Linked DNA regions of Drosophila melanogaster. Each later gene encodes a partner of the first gene's protein in a complex. Each region holds a gene or a part of one and is shown in the gene's direction. Other genes may lie near its edges. The genes, in order: Nup98-96, Nup54 and Nup153.

Region 1 (7,737 bases):
GGTACTATCAGATACTCGTACTCGCAGCGATTTCGACAGCTAGTAAACGCGCAAACACAAAAAAGGGCAGAGGCAGAGGCAAACGTGTGTAAATAACAAGTGCAAACACACCGGCAAGCTCCATTCGAGTGTTAACGAACGAGATTCCCAGTTCCACTCGATCTACCTGGGACTAGAGGTACCTGTACTTTATGTACCTGTCGTATCTATTGATCAGCGGTGAAAAGGTCAACAAAACGAGATCCATAAAAAATTCACACGCATTCGAAGCGGGTCGCGATTAGATATTTCATGGTCACTGCCATTGAATTGGGATTTGTCTCACAGTGTACACAGAAAATAAACATTTCTACTGTCAGCTTGATGCAGCTTGCCTTGGGTTTACAAAGACCAGGTTTCAAATCCCACACCCGTAAATACGTAAAAGTTGTAGTACTAATGTTGTAGTACTTCAGATTTAAGTTTATGTAAAATTACATTAATTGTATAAAATTTCTTTATGTGTACCAGGCCTTTTTTCTGGCAGTGTGTTGCAGTTGCACGTGAGAGACAGAGACAGTATGAAAAGCGAGAGAGACAATAGAAAACAGGTTTTAGTTTCAAGAGCAAATCTCAGAATTTTATGCTAGTGTTGACTGAGCAGGATGAAATGAAATGAAAAACGAAACAACACAGTGAGAGCGGGAAAGGGAGGATCAACAGCAGCCGAGTGAGCGTGTGCAAGCGAGAAGGTGCAACAAGTTTTACCGTAGCAACGCAGCAGGAGGCACACACATGCGGTGAAATAAGAGAGAGAGTTAGAGAGAGAGGTGGGGGTGGAGATGAGGTGTGCTCTGGAAAAGAGCGCCCAACAGTTCATAAAGTTTTCCTTTATTGTTGTTTACAAAGCACTTTGTTTAAACATTCCTGCCTAGCCATATTCTACCTAATTTATCGGCTTAATAGCCGCATTGCCAACTTACCAATGCCGAATTCTGCCTGCTTGGCATTGCAGTCGCTCCACACACTCATCTTGAAGGCTTTTCTTCTCGTTGTTGTTGCTTCTACTAGTGTTGTTGCTGATATTGTTGTTTTTGCGCCGACTTTTACCACCAACACGGCGACAAACGATCGCTACTCACACATGCAAAGCGATGGACTTTCGTTTGCGAAAATAAAAACAACAAGACATTAAATTAGGCAACGGCAAAAGAGCAACACGTAGTTGAAATTTTGATTTCGTTTTCACAATGCCGCCAACACAAGCATTTCGCCTCCGATTTCGCTACAGATTTCGACGAAAAGCACACCGGTTGGACAATTGCAACCAATAAATAATTATTGCACAAAAGCTAGCATTCCGCACAAATTGTCGCTCCGCAAATGCATTTTGCGCCGTTTTTCGCTCGTTTTGTTCTCGACTTGTATTTGGGCTGGGAGTTGGCCGCTGCCGCTCAGCTAATTATCACATGTACACGCACTCGATCGCACACACACTCGTGTGTGACAGTTGCCAATTAATTAAATAACCGCTCTCGGAAAACAACCCGCGCGTTTCAACTGTTTGTTGTGAATGAGCGTGCTCGATGCCCAGAAGTACCGTACTGTTCCCAATCGAAAATATCAAATATAGAGTGCCCCTTACAGCGTGTTCACACCGTTGATGTCAAATGGGTTTTCACTTTGTTCGCAGTACGGTCACATAAAAATGTGAAAATCGAGCTTACCTACAAAATACGAGAAACCCAAGTTATAAAATACATTTTCCACACATTCATAGTAAATTTGCTTCGGAGGCACCAAGCAAAAATTTTATTAAGACCATAAATAAGTTATGGTCAATAGTTATGCGCCTGGCAGTTGTATCCTGCTTTTTTACAGTGTATTTTTGCATGCGATTTCACGCCTTGGTCACACTTTTGGCTGCATTTTCTTCAACATCGTGAAAAAATCGGCGCGCCATTTCTGTCCACTTTTTGCGTCAGACTCGGTCGACTCCTGCTGACTTGACAAATTCGCGAGTGTTTATTTGTTTTAAGCTAAGCCTGTCCGGTCCCACAACCTTCGCATCCGGCGCAGCCGCCCCAGCTTGCCCAACGTGGTGAAATCGAAGCATTGCTCATCGCGATAGTTGGCATTCCGGCGAAGGACAAAGCAGGGGATCTACCTAGTATATGTTTGTTATCTGAGCAGCAGCAGCGAGCAAAATGTTTGGCGGCGCGAAACCCAGCTTCGGAGCCACTCCGGCGGCCACCAGCTTTGGCGGATTCAGCGGCACCACAACAACCACTCCGTTTGGCCAGTCGGCATTTGGCAAACCCGCCGCACCGGCCTTTGGAAACACCTCCACCTTTGCCGCCCAACCCGCGCAGCAGTCACTGTTCGGTGCGGCAGCCACACCAGCTCAGCCCGCCGGAGGCTTATTCGGGGCAAACACGTCCACGGGATTTGGAAGCACTGCCACAGCTCAGCCCACGGCTTTTGGAGGTTAGACACGATCATTTGAAGTGGTATCATGTTACTAATTTAGTAATTTCTTCTTTGCAGCCTTCTCGCAGCCGCAACAGACCTCGAACATATTTGGATCCACCCAGACGGCGGCAAGCACCTCCCTCTTTGGACAATCGACGCTACCCGCCTTTGGAGCCGCCAAGCCGACTATGACGGCCTTTGGGCAAACAGCTGCTGCTCAGCCCACGGGCTCTTTGTTTGGCCAACCGGCTGCCGCCACCAGTACAACAGGATTCGGAGGCTTTGGGACGTCGGCGCCTACAACCACCAATGTTTTTGGCAGTGGCACCGCCTCCGCCTTTGCCCAACCTCAGGCTACGGCCGTGGGAGCTTCCGGAGTCAATACGGGCACGGCCGTGGCCAAGTACCAGCCAACCATTGGTACAGATACCCTGATGAAGAGCGGTCAGGCAAATAGTGTGAACACTAAGCAGCACTGCATCACGGCTATGAAGGAGTTCGAGGGCAAATCTCTGGAGGAGCTCCGCCTGGAAGACTATATGTGCGGGCGCAAGGGTCCACAGGCTGGGAATGCTCCGGGAGCTTTTGGATTTGGAGCTCAGGTTACTCAGCCCGCTCAGCCTGCAAGTGGTGGCCTGTTTGGAAGCACTGCCCAACCAAGCACAGGTCTGTTTGGCCAAACTGTGACCGAGAATAAGAGCATGTTTGGCACCACCGCTTTTGGCCAACAACCGGCGACTAACAATGCATTCGGAGCAGCAACCCAGCAAAACAACTTTCTGCAAAAGCCCTTTGGAGCCACCACCACCACTCCGTTTGCCGCTCCCGCAGCTGACGCTTCAAATCCATTTGGGGCGAAGCCTGCTTTTGGACAGGGAGGAAGCCTCTTTGGTCAGGCACCTGCTACCAGTGCGGCTCCTGCTTTCGGACAGACTAACACAGGATTCGGAGGCTTTGGAACCACAGCCGGAGCAACGCAACAGTCAACTCTTTTTGGTGCCACACCAGCCGCCGATCCAAATAAATCAGCCTTTGGGTTGGGAACGGCTGCATCAGCAGCCACGACAGGTTTTGGATTTGGAGCTCCAGCAACAAGCACCGCCGGCGGAGGCCTTTTCGGAAACAAGCCCGCCACTAGCTTTGCTGCTCCAACTTTCGGCGCAACCTCCACGGCTAGCACTCCGTTTTCAAATTTTGGCCTGAACACCAGTACAGCAGCAACGGGAGGAGGCCTTTTTAACTCGGGATTGAACAAGCCAGCAACGTCCGGATTCGGAGGTTTTGGAGCCACCAGCGCAGCACCACTTAATTTCAACGCAGGCAACACGGGCGGATCACTTTTCGGAAATACAGCCAAGCCGGGAGGAGGTCTTTTTGGAGGAGGTACTACAACCTTGGGTGGCACGGGTGCTGCCCCAACGGGAGGACTGTTTGGAGGAGGAACTACCAGTTTCGGAGGTGTCGGTGGTTCCTTGGGCGGAGGAGGCTTCGGTATGGGTACAAACAACTCGTTAACTGGTGGTATTATGGGAGCTCAGCCCACACTGGGTATCATGACGCCTTCACACCAGCCCATTCATCAGCAGATCCTAGCTAGGGTAACTTCTCCCTACGGAGACTCTCCGATTTTCAAGGATCTAAAGCTAAGCAGTGAAGCAGATGCAACAAGAGCTACAAATCCTGCTGCCCAACAAGCAGTTCTGGACCTGACCAGCAACCAGTACAAGATAAGTACCAGCAACAATCCTGCTCCAATGAAGGTAAAGGCGCTGGGCAGCACACTTAATAGAAAATCGCTGTTTGATGGTCTCGAGGAGTTTGATGCTTCTGTAGAGGGCTTCAATCTGAAGCCCAGTGCTAAACGATTAGTTATCAAACCCAAAGTAAAAAGTGTAGAGGGTGGAAATCCCTCTAGCTCTATTGGCAGTGCTCCCAACACGCCCCAATCTCGACCCAAAGGCGCAACTCCCAACAAAGAACGCGAGTCGTTTAGCGGAGCCATTCCAAGTGAGCCGCTACCACCAGCTGGAAACTCGCCTGGAGCAACGAATGGACGGGAAAGTCAGGATAACGGCCGCCGTGAGTCATGGCTGCATCCTAACAACCTTGAGAAGGTACGCCAGCACAACATTCAGACTGGAATGGATCAGGGATCGCCCCATAACAGCACCCTCAACGAGCTTGTGCCACGTAAACCTTTAGATACATACCGACCATCCTCCACCGTTCGCCTCTCGGTGTCAACCATCCCAGAGAATCCATTTGAGGATCAATCCAGCACCATTGCACGTCGCGAAACCTTCACTTCGCAGCAGGCCAATGAGAGTGTGCTTTCGAACAGATCTAATGAGGCAGAGGACTCTGCAGCAAACCAATCCCGCCTAGCCATTGAGGCAGCTGCTGCAGAGGCAGCAGACGACGAATCACATCCAACAGGCATTGTGCTGCGACGCGTGGGTTACTATACAATTCCATCGCTAGACGACCTACGCTCCTATCTGGCCGAGGACGGATCCTGTGTGGTTCCGAACTTTACGGTGGGTCGGGAAGGATACGGCAATGTCTTCTTCGGCAAGGAAATGGATGTGGCTGGCCTGAACCTCGATGAGATTGGTAAGAGTCTTGTGTTTTTTTATAACCGTTTGTGTTTGCTCTCATACATTTATTTAATGCAAAACAATTTGTATCACAGTCCACTTTCGCAACAAGGAGATTATCATTTATCCCGACGACGAAAACAAGCCGCCCATTGGTCAAGGTCTAAACCGTGACGCCCAGGTCACTTTGGACCAAGTATGGCCGTTGGACAAGACCAAGCACGAAGCCATCAAGGACCCACAACGCTTGCTTGAGATGGACTGGGAGGGCAAGTTGCGCCGGGTGTGCGATAAAAACGATACGCGCTTTATAGAATACCGCCCGGAAACGGGTAGTTGGGTCTTCCGCGTCAAGCACTTTTCTAAATATGGCCTGGGAGACAGCGACGAAGAGGACGAGTTGCCCACTGACCCGAAAAAAGCCAAAATTGCAACGCTTGAGGCTCAGCAGCGGGCAAACGCAGAAAAGATGACGCTCAATTCGCTGCGCCAAGCGCAGAAGATTTCAGAAGATGCAGCCCGTAACTTGGACCCAAAAGCCTTGGTCGCAGGTGTTGCCAGCGGATTCAGGCCAATGGATGATACCGCCGAGTTCCTTTTAATGGACAAAACACGTACGTCTAAAGTCCATTTTAAAAGGTTTAGTTTCATTAATTGTAATTTACTTAATTTTAATTCGCAGAATTTTTCCAAGCTGGTGGCAACTCCGATTTCTCCATGTTTGATCCACCGCGTCAACGTCCAACGATTACCAGTCCCACAGCTGTTTTGGCTCAGGAAATGGTAGGCAACGAGGCGCACAAAATGCAGCTAATGAAGTCATCCTTCTTTGTGGAGGACAATGCTCCCGAGGACGAACCCATGGGTAGGTGGATAATCTCTTGATGGTCTTTCAAATTGCTTACAGTAAAAGATATGTAGATGTTTAAATGTTAATCGTTAGTTTTGAGCAAATATGTATTGTTAATTATCAACGATATTTAATGATTTTTGATCGTTGCAAAAAGTATTATATATATATATTTATGTTTAAAAAGGTAGCACAAATTATAAAGTTAATAAAGCTTTCAAATGTGTTAGTAAATCCAATTCATTTTGCCTGCTTTGGCAACAATTCATTATAATTACAACAATTCACTGCTTATCATCCCACACGGCCACTATACATTTGAAAATTACTCATAAATTTCTACAGAGACTACGGGGCGTCTTCTTCGTCATCGCAAGTTTTTCAACGTGGAACCTCTTGTTTGGAAAGATGGTGCCTCCGAGAGTTCCAGTCAGTACGATTTTGAACACCCATCGCCCGCTCTGCCGATTTCTTCCTCCGTCTCTGAGGCCAGCCTGATGTGTGATGCACATTATGAGGAGGTATATCGACGTAACCTTTTACTTTGAAGCCCAATAAACATCCTGATCAATTTCAGACATCGTCGATGGCAACTGGAAGCATTGTTGCAGCTGTAAAAGAAACGAAGTTTGAAATGCCTGTCACTAAAGCCTTCAAGTTTGTCTGTAAGCCCAAAGTGGCTCCGATTAAGTTGCGTGCCACCACGGTTCCCCTACCCAGGTCCATCGCTTATGAGATGCGCGATAATTGGATCGCCGATTTGGGATTCTACAAAGGACGCAGCTTTAAGCTCAGTTTTGGTCCACAAAACTCATTGGTACTGCCAAGCACCTATAATAACATGCAAAACCTAAAAGAATGTAAGAATATCTGAAACAAGCTGTAGCAGTCCAATTATAATAATTTCCCTTTGCTTCAGTTACTGGACCATCCCTGCCCGTCTCCATGGTATTTGCGCCGCGCTCGGCCACCGATTTGTCGCCCAGTGTAATGCAGTTGGTGGAGTTTAACATGGTCAAAGGCAACGAGGGTTTTCGAGAAAGTATCATTCCCCATCTCGAAGTTCAGCTTAACGACTGCCTCTCAGTTAATGTGGAGGGTAGTGAGTGCCCGTGTATACATCCCGATAGCGGTACGAAACTAGTTTCCAAGCACTTCTCCGAGTCTCTTAAGCAGAGAAATGCTGGCTTAAAAGAGGACTATAGCGTGTCAGTGTGGTCGCTTTTATTCGCACTATGGGGCGATCACGATGAACTGGTGGACCTGGAAAAGAACTCTCATTACATGGTCATGTGTCGGCGCAATCTGCTATCCGAGTGGCTTGAGAACACGCTGCTGGGCAAAGATCTACTCTCGAAAAAAGTTAGCACCCACAGCTACCTGGAGCACATGTTGGATTTACTTAGCTGCCATCGCGTAAATGAGGCTTGTGAGCTGGCCTTCAGCTACGATGATGCTAATCTGGCTCTTGTGCTGTCCCAATTAAGTTCCGGAGCTGTCTTCCGGCTATTAATGGAGGAGCAGCTCTTTGCCTGGCAGCAGAGCAAGTCGGATAAGTATATCGATCTGGAGCGCCTTAAGATGTACATGCTGGCCGCCGGAGCGCCAATGATGCAGTCTTCACATGGGGCCATCAACTTACTCGAGAATAAAAACTGGCTGACAGCACTGGCCCTGCAGCTATGGTATTTCACAGCCCCAACATCGTCTATCACCGATGCACTCAATGCTTATAACGACGCCTTCCAAGCGGAAGAGTGCTATGCGGAGCCCCCAAAGCCCAGCTACAGGGACGCACCTACTGACACCAAGAAGCCCGTCTACGATTTGCGCTACCAC
Region 2 (5,133 bases), on another chromosome or scaffold:
TATTCTCACGCTCAAGCAGTTCAAGTACGATCAGAAGTACCACTTCCGCACCAAGCTCATGCATAAGGTGTTCCACGATGAGAGCGTAAGTATCGCAGCGAATTTCTCCGCTACAAGTTTAGCTAACCATTTCGCACGCTAGGTCACAGTAAAAATGTCGGCAAAGGACTCGCTGCAGGAGATGTCCACTGTGCACTATGATCTGTATGCGGGTGTTGTTCACGCCGGGTACAGCATGGATTCCGGTCACTACTTTACGTTCGCGGCGGATCAAGCCAAGAATTGGTACAAGTTCAACGATAACGTGGTTACCCACTCCAAGCCGGAGGAGATGCACAATCTCACTTCGCCCAACACGCCCTACATCCTGTTCTACAAGATGTGCGGCCACTCCAATGAGTCTAATTCGGTTACGGCCAGCTGCAGTTCGAGTATGGTATCGGGCTCAAATGACCAGGTGGTCTCGGTGCCACTGTCGCCGCCTCTGAAGCTGGAGGAGTTGCCACGCCGACTTCGCGACTACGTAAGAAAGGACAACCATGTTTACAACGAAGAGTTGAAGATGCAACGCTTTAAGCGTGGCAACAGCGGTCACGGCAATGCGTTTGTCAGCCGGCACAACTTTGATGGCGATGGTGACGAGGACGACAAGGCGCCGCCGCCGCCCGGAGGATGTGGAGGCAATGGACTGGGCATGAACATCAACCGCTTCGTCTTCTGAGAAAGCGACAGCCAGGATAGCGAGCACACCGGAGGCCACTAGAACATATACTTGTCTACTTTATGAAACACGCGCATACTAATCGAAATGTTACATACATATATATATAGCACGTTCACAACCAATCGAGATATATGCGCCTACGTATATCGAAGTGTATGAGAAACGCGCTTACCGATCGCTTGTTCGCTACCTCCTTGAGTTGTTGTCGATGTTTTCTAAATTGTTTCTTCCTTTTCTCCTTGATCCTTCGGCCCGTTGCCCCAAAAATCATTATACTCATCCACTCATACGAACGCAAACTATTATTGTATTTCCATTTACAAAATTGTTATAATTTTTTTGTTTTTGTTAACACAAACCTAGTTGTAGAACGTGCATATATGCGAACACAAACATATTTAATTATAAAAATTAAAAAAAAAAAAAAACAATAGAATTAGCCAGAAATAGGAGCGATATACTTGAATCCGAAGACCACTAACTTCCAAAACACTAAACCAGAAATAATGTCTGCACCCTAGTTTTTAACGCACAGCTCGAAATTAAATCATATCTCGAGTTGCAATCGAACTAGCAAGAAGCTACAAAACAAGATAATCGCGGCATTGACTTGTATAGATCGAGATCGTTTATAGATCGGGCTATAACCCTCGGATCGTATTATTAGTTTCACTGTTAATTTTAGCAAATTTCAAAAAATTTGCGCATGTGCGACACGAATTTGTAATTGATATATATAAATGTATCTCTTTGGATCTGGTGAGCAGAGGTTGCGATGAATTTTGAACGTTATTGCAATTAAATTGGAATAATTTCAAGGAAATTTGTATATGGTGTATGTCTATTGATAACCAAAATCTATACTATGCTATGCTATAAGTGTATCAATAAAGAAAAGAACAAGCCCAAAGAGTGTTTAATTATTAGAGTCACGAAAGAGTTTAATGTGAAAACAACAAAAATAGTATCCATTCATGGAAGTTACTATATCAAAAAGAAAAGCAATGATCAGAAAGGAGGATATTATATTCAGTTCAAACATTAGAGAGGAGGCGTAAACTAGAATTAAAAACTTGACAGGATTATTGAAGTGGCGAATTGATTTTCTTGCCGCCAAATTTCAAATTATAGCGTACTAATAATCAAAAGTCGGGCCTAAGACTATCGATAATTTAGACCGCGCGGCAGTGTTACCAAATTAATAAGGGAAATTCAAGTGTTGTTGTCAGCAAGGGTGAGAGCCCATTTACAATCTGGTAACACTGCTAGAAAGCGCCAAAATTTTACGTTTATTAGGATTAAGACTAATTTTATTACAATAAAATAGAATTGTACAAATTCCGGCCCCTAGGAAAGGCAACCCAAACTGTGCGGCAAAGTAACGTCCTTGAGAATACCGCATCATGTCGTTCTTCGGATCCAACACGTCGCTGGGAGCAACAAGCACGCCGGCCAAAAGTGAGTTTCCGTAAACAAGACCTCATGCCCTTTTCTCCAAATATTTGTGGGGTCCATTTCCACTTGGTGGAGGCTTCAGCAGCTTCTTGGCGTCCTGCAGGCTGTGGATGCGGATGTCTTTGGGATCTATGCTGGATGTGGGACGGGCTACATGGTGTCAGTGTTCTTATGTGGCCAGACAAAGATGCTCACCCCTTCTTGTGGACCACATAGGCGACGTATCCCACAAAACCTAGCAGGAGGATCAGCAATATAAAAACCAGAGCCATTTTCCACGACCAGCAGGCGACCAGAGCTTGAAGCAAACTAAGGGCAGCTTCTGTAGTATTTTGGAACCCGAAATCTCAGATAAGAATCCAAGGCAGAAGCATAGTTTTCAAAACACTGACCCATTTCTGGTCTTCTTATCTCTTTTGTTCAGCAACCGGTGGCCTCTTCGGATCGCCGTTTGGAGGCACAGCTGCAACCAGCCAGCCAGCACCCGCTTTCGGAGCACAGGCCACATCGACTCCGGCTTTTGGCGCCCAACCGGCGACTTCTGCCTTCGGAGCAGGTTCCGCCTTTGGAGCAACCGCTGCAGCCCCGGCTTTTGGAGCCGCCACAGGAACTTCTGCCTTTGGCGGCTCCGCCTTTGGCAGTACTCCGGCATTTGGTGCGGCGACAACCACAACTGCGGGCACGGGTTTGGGAGGAGGCGGTTTCGGCGGATTTGGAGCAGCTCCGGCAACAAGTCAGGCCGGTCTGTTCGGCGCTCCAGCGACTAGTGCAGCACCACCAGCTTTTAGCGGATTCGGCCAACAGGCAGCTGCGAGTACAGCGCCAGCAAGTGGATTTTCAGGCTTTGGCACAACCACAACGTCGGCACCTGCTTTTGGTGGCTTTGGCACCAGCCAGTCCACTGGCTTTGGGGGCGGAGCCTTCGGATCCAGTAAGTTAAATAAGCCCATTTGTCTTTCTGTGGTATTCCTAACCTGGTTTATGTTTCAGCGTTCGGAAAACCAGCGAATACAACAGTTACGCCGGGATTTGGTGGATTCGGAGGCACCAGTTTTATGCTTGGACAGCCGCAACAGCAGCCAGCGCCCATATCGGCTGACGAGGCGTTTGCCCAATCCATTCTGAATGTATCCATTTTCGGGGATGAACGGGACAAAATAGTGGCCAAATGGAACTACTTGCAGGCTACGTGGGGCACTGGGAAAATGTTTTACTCCCAGAGTGCGGCACCGGTAGACATTACGCCGGAGAACGTGATGTGCCGGTTCAAGGCCATAGGCTACAGTCGTATGCCGGGCAAGGATAACAAGTTGGGACTGGTGGCTCTTAACTTCTGCAGAGAACTCTCAGCTGTCAAGTAAGTCTTAGTGCTTGTCTACATCATGGCATAGGTATTAATTCATTTTATTTTAGGCCACACCAGCAACAAGTGATTCAAACGCTTCACAGTTTATTCGGCAGCAAGCCCAACATGCTTGTTCACATAGATTCCATCAAGGAGTTGGAGAACAAAAAGTGCCAAATTGTTATTTATGTCGAGGAGAAACTTCAACATGCTCCCAACGAAAGCAAGCGTATACTTGCCACCGAACTCTCAAACTACCTTAATCAGGCGACGCTGAAACCACAGCTCAATAATCTAGGTGTTGTGGAGGCTTTGGCTCTGGTATTACCCGACGAAGATCAATTGAGGGAGTACCTTGAAAATCCACCCCGCGGCGTGGATCCGCGCATGTGGCGTCAGGCCAATTCCGACAATCCAGATCCAACTTTATATATACCAGTGCCCATGGTGGGCTTTAACGACTTAAAGTGGCGCGTTAAGTGTCAGGAACAAGAAACGGACACGCATGCATTGTACATAAAGAAGGTGGAGAGTGAGCTGACAGAACTCAAGAAGCGCCATGCCACTGCCACAGCGAAGATACTTGAACATAAACGGAAACTGGCCGAGCTCAGTCATCGCATACTAAGGGTAGGGACACCTAGTTAAATACCCAACTTTATTTTTACATTCAGAAATCCGCATTTTTCAACCACAGATAATAGTGAAACAAGAGTGCACCCGCAAGGTGGGCACTTCCCTGACGCCCGAGGAGGAGGCCTTGCGCACCAAGCTACAGAACATGCTGGCTGTCGTCTCCGCACCCACCCAATTCAAGGGCCGACTCAGCGAGCTCCTCTCCCAGATGCGCATGCAGCGCAATCAATTCGCAGCCAACGGTGGTGCCGAGTATGCCCTCGACAAGGAAGCGGAGGACGAGATGAAGACCTTTCTGACGATGCAGCAGCGCGCCATGGAGGTGCTGAGCGATACCGTCAACAAGGACCTGAGGGCGCTGGATGTTATAATTAAAGGACTGCCCGAGCTGCGACAATCGTGATAGGAATGGAAATGAGCTGATACGTTGAATAAAACCCACATATGTGTAACACAACCCGGTGATTTTCGATGATCGAGACAACGAACAAGTTGTGGCCGTTACACTTTTGCCATTATGTCGTCGTTTAGCATTTCCTGTAGCTTTGAACTTGCACTTTTACGGGCAATGGAGTCGAAACAATCGAAACGAGTTCACACATTCGTCGCCAATGCTGCGGAAATAATTGTGTGGGTCAATGCACTTGCACCGCACAGCTCTTGGACCGCCCGACTTTTCCTCGGCCACTGTCTGAAATTGTCCAATTTCGACGGCTAGGCAGAAGGCAATCGCTCGGACTCATTATGAGTGGCAAACGGTTCGTCTCTGGCAGTTCCAGTTTGTTCAACTCCCAGCATCGGTATCACCATCGTTGTTACATTAACATTATTATGTGCTCTGGCGTGTGCATACATGTGCAGTCTAGTTAGTTGGCTCGTTACATATTTATTTCTTGTGTGGGAAACTAGTTTTCTCCCAGTCAACCAGCCAGCCAGGGTCCGTGCAGGTTTTTTGTTGGCCATTGATGGCGGA
Region 3 (4,751 bases), on another chromosome or scaffold:
GGAAGTTCAGATCGCCAAACCAGAAGACATAGTCGTGATCGTAGATCTCCCTATACCGCTTGACGTGGTAGTGATGGTTCTCCAGTATCTGCTTGTAGTCCTCGATGCGCTCGTCCATCATATGGTCATGGGCAGTCAGATGGGCCACCACAAAGGCCAGTCCGCAGCCGTAAAGGGTGAACCTGACACTGACGGCGCCCTTGTTGCCCCAAATGCCACCGAAACCGGTCCTCGTGAACTCCGCCTCGATGTCCTGCAAGTGCTCAACGTGCTGCCGCCTCACGAACATGCTGAGCAGCAGCCCCTGCATCTGCTCGGTCTTTACGGCCACATAGTCGTAGTTGCGTAGCAGTTCCTTAGCCTTGTGCGTCCACGGATCCTCCTTGAACAGTCCCAACACCTGTTGCTGCGGCTGGGCATTGACCTCCTGGAGCCCCAACGCATAGATGTCCGGCAAGTGGGCATTAGTCTCCTTCGTGTCCTTATCCACCGTCACATCCTGCAGTCCCAGCAGATGGCGGAGGGATATGTTATCCGGAAATCGACTGCCCACATTCCAGGTGACCACATATACCCGGTAAGTTTCCAGCTGTTGCTTCCCTTTGCCCTTCGATCCGTCCGGCTCCGAGTCCGGAATCTTGGGTGTCTTGCTAGCCTCCGTTTGGCTCATTGTTGCTGGACTTGACAAATCGAAGAGATTAACCCAACTGGCTGCTCACAGCAATCAAGTTGTTTACCCAACCGATTAAGGTTTTATTGTGTAAGTCGATTCTTTATGCCTTTGTGGATTTTGTTGCTCCAATCTGGGTTGCTGGTTAAGTTGGGTGGTGAACAGCGGCGAGGGCGGTCGGTAATTGCTGAAAATATTGCAGCACAAATAGTTTTTAACACTTGTTTGCCCAGCAGCAGCAACAACAACAACTGTGCTACAACAACACGACGAACACAATAACAACAACTAGGGATGGCAAAACTGAGAAGATGACGATATCGACTAGCGGTATTTATTTTCCAGCCCTAAAAATGTAAATTTCTTAGACGTTAAGAGGTAACATATTTGATTCATCTAGTAGTAAATTCAAGTTGTTTTAAAATGGCTTGCTAAAATTGAACCAAAACAATATGGTTTCCCCTATAACCCATTTTTTAAGATTTATTTAACATTTATACTGTATAATTTCTTTGTCATATTTGCACCTTAATAAGGGCTTTTATATTTGGCGCTCATATTATGTTCGTTTATTATATTTGCTTTATTTCTAATGCAGAATCTGTGGTCACTCTAGCACTCGCTGAATTTTAACTCGCTGGAAATTCTTTTTAGGACAACTATCGATTAACATTAGTACAGTATTTAAACTTTTGCATTATCACACAGCCAAGTAAAAACCTAAACAAATACCTCACTCCAACTTAAAGATACAAACGAGAATTCCTTTTAGTCAATGCAAATGCTTAGTATTCAAATGACAACACAAGCAAATGGTTACATATGTTATAAGTCGCACTTGAAGCGGTTCTTGAGTAATAAGCCCGTATGGCAGTTCATCACCAATTAAAAATATTTAATAATTACAGACTTCCAAACCGTAAACGTGCATGTAACCGATAGCTGCAGGCAACGTATCGATTAGCACACGCTGCCCGACACGCCGATAGTATCTGACAAACATCGATTTTGGTTCCAGCTCTACTTTGTGGCCACACACGCGTTTTTTCCCCAATCAAATCGTGCTCTTTTGAAATTCTGTTTCTTGCAAATCGGTGGTGCGTGTTCTCGTGCAACAATGGAAAACCTGAATGCGACCAGCGGCAAATGTTAAATTGCAATTAAAAGTGTGGATTTCGCGGCGGTAAAACGCCAAAATTCGTACCGAATCGCTGCGCGCGTGTGTGTGTGAGCAGAGCGTGAAGAAGAGGAACGAAGAATTGCGAAAGCAGTGTGTGCGGAAGAAGTGGAAGAAGCACAAAGACAAAAGGAAGGTGAAAATATATCAAATATATATCAAATCTATCCGGCAAAAGTAAAACAAATATTGAAGAAAACGGGCGGCATGCTGGAAAGCGGTAAGGGCAAAGCCAAAAGCAAGAACCTCGAGCGCTTCGCCCGAATTCGGTATTCAATCCTTTTTCCCGCCTCTAATTTTGCAGTGCTTGTGCCCAGAATTTGCTCTTCATTGGTGGCCAAGAAGTCAAATCCTGATCAAACGCGACCAGTTTGTGGCGCCAAACAGAATATTATTTAAAAATATCGCGGCGTGTGTAAAACCTCGGCGAAACGCGAACAAAAAAAACCACGACGGCGTGCGTAAGCGCACTCACACCTTTGCACACGCACAGACAGAGAGAGAAGGCAGGATAGAGAGTGAGAACGAAGCGAGTGAGCGAACATTATCCGCACCTACACATACAAACTAGCTCGCAGGAATTGCAACAGTGTGTGCTTTTTTTTTGGTTTTTTTTTTTACTTACGTTTTTTGTTGTGTGTGCGGCAACGCTTCTTTTTCGCGTTTTTTTTGCATCTCTCTTTTGTGCCGTTGCTTCGCCGGCTAAAAAGGTGAGTCTGAATCTAAAGCGGCATAATGGAGGATGCACAGGAGCAAAGGGAATCCTCGCAAGCCGAATTGGCCAAAAAGCATCCGCTGACGCCGCTCAAGGAGCTGCCTGAAGAAAGCGAGGAGGAGGAGGAGGAAGAGGATGAATCCTCGGCGGGAGCCCTACGGGAGTCTGACAGCAACAACGTAAGTACAGTCGACGATAACTTGGTTCCCATCAAATATCCAACTTCCGTGCAATTGCAATTGCAGTCCATCATGGGGAAGATGAAGATGCGCGTGTCCAGCATTCTGCCCGCCTCCTTGAGCGGTTGGTTTTCGCCGTCGTCCAAAGATGGGAACGATGCCTTATCCTCCCCAGCTAATCTCCGCCAGTCACAGCCACGCCAGTCCAATGGACGCCTCACTACCAAGCGGAAACGAGGACGCCGTCGGATAATGCTAGCCGAAGTGGATGCCGATGCAGCCGATGATCTTGATGACGGCTCCGATGCCAAAGGCCTCAACTATGAGGAGGTGGCCCTGGCCGACAACATAGCCGAACACGACCTGGCCGCCGAGGATGAACAGACGCGGCGGAGCGAGTACAATGTGTTCCTGCTGCGCAAGCGAGCCGGGGCTGTTGCAGCTGCCGGCGGTGACGAGGATGAGGCCGAGGAGGATGAACTGGAAGAGGACGACGAGGATGGCGATGAGGAGGATGACGATGAAGAGCAGGAGAATCTCCAACAGTCCGCCGCCGTGCAGACCAAGCGTCGACGCCTGGAGGTAAGATCACATCTTCAATCCTGTCTACATTTCCCAACTAATCTTGAATCCCTTTCAGCTGGAGACCCCCGTCAATTTGCCGAACATGCGTCGTCTGCCCCTTTTGTCATCCACGCCTGCTGCTCCGCTCGCGGCTGCCACCAGCTCCTCCAGCTCCCAGATGTACAAGGGCGTCAGCCACATTGCGCCACATCGGCGCAATCACCTCAATTTGTATGGTAGTCAACGGCAGCGCGAACCCGCGTACAACTTTTTCACGGGCAACGAAGCTGCCGAGGGAAGCACCGGGGATCTGCCACACAGGTATGTTACTGCAGTCATGCTTACTAAAAGTGTTAATATGGAATTCAAAAAGATAACTACCTTAGAGCTCGTTTCAAACAAACTCAAATTTGGGCGTTGCATAGCCAGGCTATTGCCAAGACGAAAAAGAAGAAAACCTTAGTGAAAATTATAAGGCAATCATTTAAATCATTTTAGCATCCGCCGTTCACTGAACATACCTTTCGGAGGCAGCAGCACCGCTACCAGCTACAACAACAGCCTATCCAGCCTTCCTAACCACAAGCGACCATCGCTCATAGGCAAGCAAACCCATCGACGCGATCTTACCATGGATGAGACGGGGACTGGCCCGGCCATGAGTTCGGAAGAACATCTCAATCATTTGCTGAGAATAAGCAGGACCAACAACAATACTAGCAACAATAATAATAATAATAATAACAACAACAATGTCATTGAGACAAAAACAAGACGAAGTGAACTGTCTGCGGCCGCAGGAGGTTGCGGTGATTCGCAGTCCGAGAGCGATATGAACGAATACCACGACAATGGTGAAGGGCACGACGGACTTCGTCCGTCGCATTACAACAGCAACAGCAATTTAGAATTTTACGGAAATCTGCAGAGCTCCAAGTCAATATTTAACAGAAGCAACACCGCCGCACAGCAATCGCATCGGAATTCTACGTGGTCGCTGAATTCCCTTACCCAACGACGTCGCTTCAATGCGTCCATATACGGCAGTACGTCGGCACTGAGCGACAGTCGTCTGCTTAGTGGCAGTGCCTCTAACTCAGGCTCTGCATCTGCCTCTAGCTCGCCCTTTTACCAGGGACGCACCACCTTCGGGGGCAATTCCGGCAACAATCGCCTCTTCAGTCGCAGCAATCTTAGCTCATCCGCCGCATCCTCAATGTTGGGACTCAATTCTGCCGGCAGCTCACCGGCGCATCAGCTGCATGCTTCCATGACTGGTGGTATTGGATACGGTATGAAAGCGGTAGATATGCGACCTTCAGACTCCGGCAGTCTTGCGGAGACATCTGTGGGCCAAGGTGGCAGTAAGAAACCCGGTACCGGGCTGTCGAACACCACGATGCGCATTCTCAACCTACTTGAAAGCTACTCCACGCCATTGATCGA

Evidence for each region.
Region 2: Nup98-96 (region 1) and Nup54 share a complex: the UniProt entries of both Drosophila melanogaster proteins name them as parts of the nuclear pore complex.
Region 3: Nup98-96 (region 1) and Nup153 share a complex: the UniProt entries of both Drosophila melanogaster proteins name them as parts of the nuclear pore complex.

The regions. Positions count from the first base shown.
Region 1 is NT_033777.3:23,775,614-23,783,350, reverse strand, and holds the start of Nup98-96 (nucleoporin 98-96kD), read left to right. Parts: upstream 1-1,729; 5' UTR 1,730-2,186; coding exon 2,187-2,466; intron 2,467-2,526; coding exon 2,527-5,064; intron 5,065-5,143; coding exon 5,144-5,662; intron 5,663-5,730; coding exon 5,731-5,913; coding exon of another isoform or gene 5,914-5,933; exon of another isoform or gene 5,934-6,135; intron 6,136-6,243; coding exon 6,244-6,419; intron 6,420-6,475; coding exon 6,476-6,758; intron 6,759-6,817; coding exon 6,818-7,737. Other genes in the region: mbc (myoblast city), read right to left, coding at 963-1,011. UniProt on the Drosophila melanogaster protein: Part of the nuclear pore complex (NPC). Required for MAD import as part of the Nup107-160 complex and required for nuclear export of Moe probably via its association with Rae1. Plays a role in nuclear mRNA export.
Region 2 is NT_033778.4:12,427,931-12,433,063, reverse strand, and holds Nup54 (nucleoporin 54kD), read left to right. Parts: upstream 1-1,964; 5' UTR 1,965-2,127; coding exon 2,128-2,182; exon of another isoform or gene 2,183-2,204; coding exon of another isoform or gene 2,205-2,313; intron 2,314-2,374; coding exon of another isoform or gene 2,375-2,451; exon of another isoform or gene 2,452-2,469; intron 2,470-2,603; coding exon 2,604-3,110; intron 3,111-3,169; coding exon 3,170-3,536; intron 3,537-3,592; coding exon 3,593-4,154; intron 4,155-4,221; coding exon 4,222-4,563; 3' UTR 4,564-4,615; downstream 4,616-5,133. Other genes in the region: DUBAI (deubiquitinating apoptotic inhibitor), read left to right, coding at 1-85, 143-721; CG43204 (uncharacterized protein), read right to left, coding at 2,205-2,313, 2,375-2,451. UniProt on the Drosophila melanogaster protein: Component of the nuclear pore complex (NPC), a complex required for the trafficking across the nuclear envelope. Essential for the nuclear import of nuclear localization signal (NLS)-containing proteins in an importin alpha/importin beta-dependent manner.
Region 3 is NC_004354.4:16,597,573-16,602,323, forward strand, and holds the start of Nup153 (nucleoporin 153kD), read left to right. Parts: upstream 1-1,668; 5' UTR 1,669-2,067; exon of another isoform or gene 2,068-2,151; 5' UTR 2,152-2,582; coding exon 2,583-2,741; intron 2,742-2,807; coding exon 2,808-3,323; intron 3,324-3,381; coding exon 3,382-3,626; intron 3,627-3,803; coding exon 3,804-4,751. Other genes in the region: CG9784 (uncharacterized protein), read right to left, coding at 1-670. UniProt on the Drosophila melanogaster protein: Component of the nuclear pore complex (NPC), a complex required for the trafficking across the nuclear envelope. Functions as a scaffolding element in the nuclear phase of the NPC.